2 linked regions of the Arabidopsis thaliana genome follow. The protein of the gene in region 1 interacts with the protein of each later gene in a biochemical or structural test. Each region holds a gene or a part of one and is shown on either strand. Other genes may lie near its edges.

Region 1 (5,602 bases):
ATCTGGTGGAGAGCGTGCGGAGGAAGAAGGGATTGAGATCGATGAGTCAAAGTTCACCAACAAGTGATAGTAGTTACGAGCTACTAGTGTCCGCTGCAACAGTCTGTTATATATCATCTAATAAGTAACCTGCTTGTAGGTTCCGTGTTTGGCAGCGTGGATTTTAACTAGGGTCTAATGTAGCGCGTTTAGGTTTTTTGTGTTTTATATGTGTGTGATATAACTATGTATGGCTTGTACTAACGGCAGTGTTGTACCGTTCAAATGGTATGCGGTTATGTTATGTAATGCGGTTGCCGGTTGGTTTTACTTCGTGTCTTACTTGTGATAGTATGTTGTGTCCAACAACGTGAGACTTGATATGTTAAGATTGCAGCATATCAAATGGCTGTAGAATAGAAAAAAATCAGGTAGTAATAACACAGTTTCAAGTTGTTAAATAACATATGTATAGTCTAGTCTTTGTAGTTTCTCAAATTAATTGTATGAAGTTAGTTGGGTTACTAGCTAGTTGTTAGATTTAGATTATAAAAAGTTTGAGGAAGTATCATTTTTGTATATTACTGTTTTTATGTGGATACATGTTTAGAATCAATACAAAAAGTGATGAAAATAGTTAAAATCCACTACAGAAAACAAAAACATTCTGAAAGCAGAGAAGTGACAGAACTAACATAAACCCCAATCCTCGATATGAGCAGGAAATGCAAAAATGGAGCGCAAATACGGTAACATCAATTACAATTTCTCAGCCGTTTTGCTAAATTGATACAACAGGAGTTGTTTCTAGTAATAACGGTACATACATTTTACAAAATCTTTTAAACTAGTTGATGCCATCACTTGCCCACATTTGATGTGTCAACACCTCTGCTTTCGACAAAACCCCATCAAAATACGCCTTTTTCAGTGTTGCGATGCTAATGCCGTTACAAATATTCCGAGCACCAAGAATGGCTGCGCGCTTGCCTGTAATCAAGATGAGTGTTTCAAGCAACTTCTGATTAAGAGACCTCTCAAAGATATTTCAAAAGAACACAAACATGTGTACTAAGTTGACTTACCTGGTACTTGACGTCGTATTTGACAGGGTCCTTGAGAAAGTATTTAAACTGCAGTTTATAGAAGCGAGTGTAGCAATCAGACGAGTGACAAGAATTTGATTAATTATAATGTGAGACTGTTAACGTCTTTACCTGGAACACAATCTGAGGAATGATCAAAGCAACCAACGCCAACGCATAATAAGGTTTCCCAGATGCTAATAGATATCCTGCAACCAAAATAGACATATACTAATGATGATCTCTACCTTTGATTTGGTTCTATAACAATGATTGTGTAACTCATCCACTAGTAAAAGTACAAATGAAGATATAAGTTCTGTTATTTCATGACACTGTTGAAAATACTTGTTTTAGAAGCATGAAATGAAAATCCATCAATCACACTAATGAAACATAAAAGTAGATGCCTCCTCTTCATTAGCTCATTTCATTAGAATGTACTTTTATGTTTTGCCTTTGTTGATTCAGCTTCATTAATTTGTGCTTTACCATTGGTGAATATCCAGTTGATAAGATCAAGGAAAAGAAATAGAAGCCACAGCTGCACAAAAACAGTGGATAGTACATACCGGCAACAGAAAGCTGAGTAATGTCTATAGCACCAACGCATATCCATTTTGCAGTTTCGGTGCCAAAAGCTACTGGGAGAGACTGAAGTCCTAATGCTCTATCTCCTTCAACACTTTTGAAGTCGTTAACAATGGCTATTCCTAACTGCATTATCACAAAGGTACAACATGAAGCAAGAGCATATTACAACAGATAACGAAAAAAGCAACATAAAAGGTTTGCCAAAAGAGTACCCCAGCTATGCTGTACAAGAGTGTTAGAACAACAACATCTGGCGTAAGAGTGCCAAACAATGCTTGGCCAGCCCACCTATCAGTCAAGTGAGCAAGAAACAAATCAATGAGATGAGAACAACGCCATATATTATTGATACACGAGATATCTTACCATGGCAAACTAATATAGCTTGCTCCAAGTGCAAAATTTCCAACCCATCCATTTTGTTTTAGCTGCAATGAGATCAGTTCAGATATCGATATTCAAAACTCCAAAACTTGGATGGAGTGTCTTATCACTAGAGAGTGGAAGTTAGGAATAAAACTTACCTTAAGAGGTGGAGCAGAGTATATATAAGATAGCAATGATCCTCCCAAAGCAAGATAGAAGACAGTGGGAGTGGTATGCCCTGCCTGATAAGGGAAGATTTTAGCAAATCTGATGTGCCCTTTAACTGTACTAGTTAATGTCAGAAGGGCCAACTTACCCACACATCTAATATTCCAGCAATACCAAGACCTCCCAATAATAGCACCCAGACTTGTGTAATAACCTGCATTTTAAGGAGTAAGGAGAAATCAGAATCACAAAAGAGATAAAAGCTCACAATGTTCTGTCTCAGTTACCTCTGGCTCTGATATTGCTCCAGATGGAATTGGACGATATGGCTCATTAATTGCGTCGATATCTCTATCATACCAGTCGTTGATTGTCTGGAAATCGACAAGTCTAGGTTATTGTAGCACCAAGCAAATGCACTAGAATAAGAACAAGTCAGCTTTTTGTTGTGTAAAACCAGACCTGTGTATAGCCAGTAAGACAAGGACCAGACATCATCATGCAAAGAATCGACTTAGCAACATCCTCTGGGGTCCAATGAAAGTTCCCTGCCAGAAGAAACAATTGGAAGGAAAATGAAAAAACTTTCTGTACAGTATTGCATGATCCAAAAGAGGTTCGTATGATTACCTGAAGCAGCAGCACCACAGACGACTCCCCAAACCAGTGGAGGCCAAGTGACTGGTTTTGTAAGCTGAAGACGAATCTTCCATTTATTCTGAATACAGAATATAACAACAAACTCTTTTTAGCTAACAAACAACATTTTCACATCATTTCTAAGCTAAAAACAAGACTTGTCCTCAAAAGAGATTACCTTTAGTAGGAAAATTCCTAAACTAACACATCATTATCCACAAATATGATAATTTAAAAGATTCTGAGGAGATGAACAAAATTACAGTTTCTTGAGATGCTCCTTTGATACCGAGAAGCTGGTTAATGCTTGAACCACCGGCTGGTGCCTTGTCAGGTGTCTGAGATTTAACTGCCGTCGGAAATTCAAACGCCACAGTGTTTGAAAAGAGAATTTTGAAGAGAGAGAAAATAAAAACAACTAAAAAATCATACCTTTATCAGTATCAGTCTCCGCCGCACGCACAACAAATCTCCGCCCTACGAGAGATCCACAACAAGATCAGTAAAAAAAAAATCGAAGAAAACATTCATCAATCTATCCAACAGAATGCTAACTACCGGGTGATTCGTAGATCAACGTCGAGAAACCAGAACGCCGGCGAGTGAACTCAACGGAATCCGAATTCCGAAGAGAGAGGACTCCGACTCGATCGACGGAGGTAACTCTGGAAGAGTGGATGGTGGAGACAGTGTTGAGAATCGAAGTCATAGAACCGACGGAAGAGAGAATCGTCTCTGGTGGTAGTTAAGCCGGAGACTGGAGTGGTGTGAGTCTGTGAGTTGCTGTTTCGGGAAACGAGTGGTTGTCCGTTACCGGAGATAAGTAATGTCTACGTTACAGTTTTGGCGGCCTTTGATTCAATAACTGCCATGTGGCACGATCCTCTTGGCAATACTAGTTGTGTCGGATGTTAGTTTTGTTGGACAAAGGACCTTCATTGAAGCAGAATGGGCCCGGTTTAAATCCAAAGCCCAAACAAAACCCATTAGGGTTTCATTGAAGCAGAATGGGCCCAGTTTAAATCGAAAACCCAAATAAAGCCCAAAAAATAAATCTAATATTAATATGGGATGATATATACCGGGTGAAATCATAAAATTTAACAATAAAAATACAAATACACAATTTTAAAAGCTAACCAAAACTAACAATATTAACAAAATAAATATAATTTCAAATTTCAAATCTTTTAATTATAAAATCATCCCGAATTGTATCATACATTAAATAATCAATAACATATATCTATAGTTGCTCAATACCTTCGGGGATTACTCTACTACATAAGTCGTCTTGATTGAATAGATTTCCTGATGTCTAGTTTTCCTACTGTGGAAATCCTATTTAGAGTAGACTCACTTCAATGAAAGCTATTACTTCTTTATTAATGACTATTAACTATTATAAGATATTAAGACAAAAAGAATAATAAATCTAACAAGGGGATTATGATACATCTAGTTGTAGTTGATATCTTAAAAACAAAAAATTCATGTATTTGATAAAAATATAAGCCCGTGATATATCTTTTAATATATATCCTATAAATATAATATTAACTGAAATAATTTTTTTAACTTTCTAATAAAAATATCAACCTTCAGTCTCTTCATGTTCCCTCAAGGCAAAATTACCTTCAAGTCTCTATTTTTACTACATGTGGAACAATCAAATCAAGGAAGAGTCGGTAGGTGATGGAGATTCGCTTTAAATGTCTACGTAACAGTTTTGGTGGCCTTTGATTTAACTACTGTAACAATTTGTCCGGACGAAAGACTATTGGGCACAGTTTAAATTTCAGGCCCAAAGAAGCCCACTAGTATCCGGTTGAGAGACACGTGGCAACAGTCAACTTTGAAGAAAAATAATGAACAATCATTGACATTTTTTTTTGTTTCTCCTGATCCAGTTCTTAATTGAACAAACTCCAACAGCATCATCATCATCATCATCCTTCAAATTATTTTTCCTATTTTGAAAAATTTATTTGAAATCTCATAATTTACGTTAATGGAGATTGCTCCATCTACAAGTAGATTCAAGCTCTACGATCAATTCGAGCTTCTGGAGTTTCCTGACAAGTACGTCGTCAAACCCATCGAATCGCCTGAGGAAGGCTTCTCCGTCAATCGGCGCGATGGCAATATCAAACCTCTTGATGGTAATCCACTCTTCATTCTCAGCTCTCTCCCTTCCCTGTTTTGGTTTCAAGACAAAATTTGGCAAGAGATGATATGAAGCAAGAGTATTAGGCTGTTGTAGTGTATTTGATGTTACTGTTTCTTTGTTACTGCAGAAAACGCATCTTCTGGGAGTCCTACTAGAGTCTCTACTATCTATGGCGTAGGAGGAACTATTAGGCTCTTAGCAGGTGGAAAATGTTTTTCAACATTTCTCTATGTACTGTGTTGGGATCCAACAGTGATTTTTATATGCTGGTTTCGATTTCATTCATATATAGGAACATACTTGCTAGTTATAACGTCTCGGGAGGAAGTTGGAAATTTTCTCGGTTTACCGATTTTTAGAGTTACGGCTATGAAATTCTTACCTTGCAATGAGGCTTTGAGGTTTGCTACTGCTCAAGAAGTAAGGTTATTGTGAATTTCAATCGATATACGATTTTGTAGGGGTTTTGGAGTTTATGAACAAGTTAAGTTGTCTAAAGAACTTGGTCACTGGCTTTTGCAGAAAAAGGACGAAACATATTTTAGGACTCTGTTACAAGCACTTGAGACAACCCCTGGATTGTATTTTTCGTATGAAACAG
Region 2 (4,284 bases), on another chromosome or scaffold:
TCTTGTTGTTAGTTGATTTTATAACATTTTTTACAGCAACAATAAAACATTATCTTCCTCACAAGTCACTTGTCAAGTTATTAGTTGATTTTATAACAGTTTTTACAGCAATCAAAATAACTATATAGCAATCAAAATAACTAATAAAGATTCTAATGTGTCACTTGAAACCATCCCTGGAACAGATGGTGAAGACCTGTTTGATCAATTTTACGTCTGCTTTGACATCATCAGAAGATCATGGAAGGAGACATATCGCCCCACTCATAGGAGTAGATGGTATTTTCCTCAAATGCACACTCAAAGGTCAGTTACTTGCTGCTATAGGTAGAGATGCATGTACCAAAATGTATTAAATAGCATGAGGATATAGTACAAGTGGAGAATGAGAAGAAATGGTTATGGTTTATCCAAATGGTGAAGTCTGATTTTGATCTTAAAGATAGAGATGGGTTTATCATAACCTCAGATCGACCAAAGGTATGTTTTTGTGTGGATGTTCTTGTTCGTATATTATGATTTTAGTCTTAATGTGATGTTACTGGTTACCAAATTTCAGAGCATAGGAAATGTGTTAGACACATTTATGGCAAATTGAAAGCAAATCATGGAAAACAAAATGGAGATGAAACCACTTATCTGGAAAACTTGGCTTGGAGCCACACTGAAACACAATATGAGAAGAACATATCCTTTTTTCTAAGTTGTTTCCAATACAAAAGAATATTCTGAGCTAATTATTTTTTCTAAGTTGTTTCCAATGGAGATTGCTGAGAGGAAACTCTCGGAGAATGATTACAATGGAGCGAAGAAATTCATTAACAAGGCTCAGAATTTGTATCCAAAACTTGATGGTTTAAAGACAAGTGTTGATGATGATCAATGTTTATCTCTTTGCATCAAACGGAGAAGAAAAAGCTGATTGGTATGGAATTCTTTATGTAGACCCTTTAGCTATGATGAAGCAGTGAAGAAACAATACAAGAAGTTAGCTCTTTTGCTTCATCCGGACAAGTACAACCTTAATGGCGCGGAAGGCGCCTTTAAGCCAGTTACAGAAGCTTGGTGTATGTTATCTGATAAGGTTAAGAGAACTTCTTATGATCAAAGGAGGATCTCGAAAGAAGCAAAGACCGAGATTCAGAAACAACCAAACCCACAAAATATTGGGGCAAGAAGTAATAAGCTTGCTAGTTGGATAAAGAAACAACTCAATCCTACAATATACACAAGTTAAGTGCTAGAGACGGTGGGGCTAGAAGTAATAAGCTTGCTCGTTGGATAATGAAACTACTAAATCTGCACAAGCTAGCATCTTCTACTGGGAATAAAAATGCTAGAGACGATACTCATTGGAGAATGTGTAATAGATGCGATGCCAATATGCCATATTTTGTCTTTATAAGGACATAATTTGTCCACGTTGTGGTCAACCTTTTGATTGCAATATAAGAAAACTCCATTGGAAAAAGCCAAAAACACAAGTGGTGGTACTTATTCAAAGAGAGATTCTTTATCATCTGTTAGTTCCACTGAGTTGTTGTAATTAAGGTGTAGGTATAATAGTGGAAGACTCTGGAAGTGCCGCAAATCAAGGACTCGAGGAGTCACAAGAAATGGTTTATGGTTCTGCAAAGACAAATTAGCACATGTAGATTAATCTATAGAGTGAATTGTATAGTGCTCAACGCTATAATGGGCCTCCTAAAAACCAGCTCGGCCCATAACAGGAATCATGCATAAGGGAAAAATTCACATTTGTCTAACGGTACCACTAGTTGGGAAGATTAGTAATAATCATTACGAAAATTTATTTGTTCTTGTGATGAATGAAACTATATATATATTCATTATAGAAAAAAATTCGATTAGCTGTTAAATCAGTAATTAATTCAGAATATTAAAGACTAATAACACTCAACAAAGCATATTAATTATAAAAAGAGCAGAAGATATAGAAACAACCGTTAAAATCAATATTCATCAATCACCACATACTTCTAGGGTTTTTAATCGCCGTCACTAAAATTAATCTGCTAATACGAATCATCACCGTCGACTAATCTAATCTCCGGCGAAATCTTCCAAATCCTCAAGCACCACCACCATTACTCATCATCTTCTTAAACTCATCAAAATTAACACAACCATCACCATCAATATCAACTTTACTAATCATCTTCTTACAATCTTGCACAGAGCACTTCTCACCCAAATTCTTCATCACTGAATGAAGCTCTTTCGCCGAGATCCTTCCATTACCATCCAAATCATATAACTCAAACGCTTCTTTCAAATCGCTTACGTCGTTTCGATTGTTACCTCCTCCTCCGATTCCGATTTGGAAAAGCGCGACGAATTCGTCCAGATCTATGAATCCGTTACCGTCTAGATCGAATTGTTTCATCATCGTTACTGTTTCTTCTGGTGATGCTGTTGGTGAGAGAGCGCGGATCACTTCTTTGAGCTCGTCGACGGAGATTTTCCCGTCGCCGTTTTTGTCGAATCGTTGGAAGACTTTTTTGATGTCGTCCATTGATCCTAAACAGCTACGAACAACTCCGTTCTTCGATGACATTGTTGAAGAAATTGAGATTTTGAGATTTGAGAGAAGAAAAAAAACGGTTAGAGTAGTGTGTGTGTGAAGAAGAAGGATTTGGTTATAAATAAGGGAAAGAGAGAGGGTGACGTAATAACGCGTTTTTTTAATTAAAACGCGTTGAGATTGCGTGAGCTGGTGGCATCTTTATTAATTCTAAATTTATTTACTTTCCAAAGATTTATTTACTTTACATATTTTATGCTTCCAAAATGTTTATTTACCAATAATAAAAAGAAAAATGTCTTTGATTAAAGATAGGACAAGTTGCTATAATAAATTTCTGTATATAGCTATATATATATATATATATATATATTTTTTGGGTAAACTTTCATTCATAAATTCAAGTAATTTTATAAGACTAAGTGGATAACATTGGTTTCTAATTTATAAGAAATTATGATGAGTTTAATTAAATTATAGAAAGTAAATAAATGAAAGATTTTAAATTATTGCTAGAGACTTTTTTTATAATCTTGATGATTAGTTATTCATAATCTTGTAAAGTTTCTCAAATGCTCTCTCTATTTTGATAATATTTTTTATGATTTCTATGACTTTATTTTGTGGAAAAAATGTTGAAATCATGAACCAATTACATAATAATAAAATTTATTAAAATTCAGAGATTTTTTTGTTTTAATTAAAATAACATAAATTTTTTACTAACTTTATAAAAGTATGAATCCAACAATCCCAAATAGCCGATGATTTGAGAAGTTCATCATTAATATTATTCGATCCTTCAAAATCACACACCTAAACAAATTGGATCAATATTATGTTGGATTTATTTATATATATTATTTATAATAAAAAATAATATAACAAATCTATATATTATATTTGACATACATGTATATGTATATTGATATGTGCACATGGAATAAGAGGCAAATATGATTTCTCTCTACGAATAAGAAATGAAGTGATTGAGCTCAAGCCCATTACTAAACCTAAGTATGTTAGGTTAAACGTATTAGCTATATATAATGATATATAATAACGTTTGACATATAGCCTTGAGCAGCCGAACCCTAAACATAAAAGACGAACTTGTCGTTATGTTTTGAGATTTAATCTCTGCAGTACTAGCATTCTGTTTGACTAAGTCTATATGTATGTGGATATCAGTAGAGGCACACATTTGGAAAGGTTTACAACCTCGGTTCCTTCATCTTTCCGCTGCAAAATAGCTAAGTATATTCATAATCTTATGATATCGATTTAATTAAATATTTACACTGACAATTAAATTTGTGATTCGTTTTATAAATCTGTTATAAATTGGTATAAATTCTTACAATTAATTTTATGATAATATTTACATTAACAATTAAAATTTGTGATTAGTTTTATAAATCAGTTATAAACCGGTACTAATTCCTACAATCTTAGCCTATCAAATAGTCATTTTAGATTATTTTTTTTATATATAAATAGCGACAAAAAGAAAACTAATATTATGTTTTTTTTTCATTCTAATTTTCTATTTTATATATAATACTTAAAAGCACAGTAAATCTTCTTTTCTTACTTGTTTATAGTGTGTGCAAATCATTGTTCGTACCTTTTGAAATGTGTAGATGAAAAATTATGAAGACTAGGTGAGTGCCCGCGCTACGCGCGGGATTTTGTTGTTGTTTTTTTAAAAAAAAAGTTTTATAATATATTTAGTTTAT

The links. The genes of interacting proteins can lie anywhere in the genome.
Region 2: the proteins of G4 (region 1) and TCH2 form a complex in vitro, tested with the Arabidopsis thaliana proteins (one study listed by BioGRID).

Annotation. Positions count from the first base shown.
Region 1 is NC_003074.8:19,215,395-19,220,996, forward strand, and holds G4 (UbiA prenyltransferase family protein), read right to left. Parts: upstream 3,735-5,602; 5' UTR 3,541-3,734; coding exon 3,390-3,540; intron 3,309-3,389; coding exon 3,264-3,308; intron 3,181-3,263; coding exon 3,095-3,180; intron 2,911-3,094; coding exon 2,823-2,910; intron 2,741-2,822; coding exon 2,655-2,740; intron 2,567-2,654; coding exon 2,480-2,566; intron 2,407-2,479; coding exon 2,341-2,406; intron 2,267-2,340; coding exon 2,183-2,266; intron 2,087-2,182; coding exon 2,025-2,086; intron 1,947-2,024; coding exon 1,871-1,946; intron 1,782-1,870; coding exon 1,637-1,781; intron 1,274-1,636; coding exon 1,197-1,273; intron 1,113-1,196; coding exon 1,065-1,112; intron 970-1,064; coding exon 907-969; 3' UTR 536-906; downstream 1-535. Other genes in the region: EM1 (Stress induced protein), read left to right, coding at 1-67; SAC8 (SAC domain-containing protein 8), read left to right, coding at 4,843-4,993, 5,129-5,203, 5,294-5,421, 5,524-5,602. UniProt on the Arabidopsis thaliana protein: Involved in one of the last steps of the biosynthesis of chlorophyll a. Catalyzes the esterification of chlorophillide a or b with a preference for geranylgeranyldiphosphate (GGPP) rather than for phytyldiphosphate (PhyPP).
Region 2 is NC_003076.8:14,996,983-15,001,266, forward strand, and holds TCH2 (EF hand calcium-binding protein family), read right to left. Parts: upstream 2,638-4,284; 5' UTR 2,579-2,637; coding exon 2,093-2,578; 3' UTR 1,999-2,092; exon of another isoform or gene 1,728-1,998; intron 1,630-1,727; 3' UTR 1,238-1,629; coding exon of another isoform or gene 969-1,237; 3' UTR 885-968; coding exon of another isoform or gene 752-884; 3' UTR 532-751; downstream 1-531. Other genes in the region: AT5G37760 (Chaperone DnaJ-domain superfamily protein), read left to right, coding at 186-306, 380-480, 752-884, 969-1,237. UniProt on the Arabidopsis thaliana protein: Calcium-binding protein that may positively regulate abscisic acid (ABA) inhibition of germination and seedling development. May be required for photoperiod-induced flowering and function in ion homeostasis.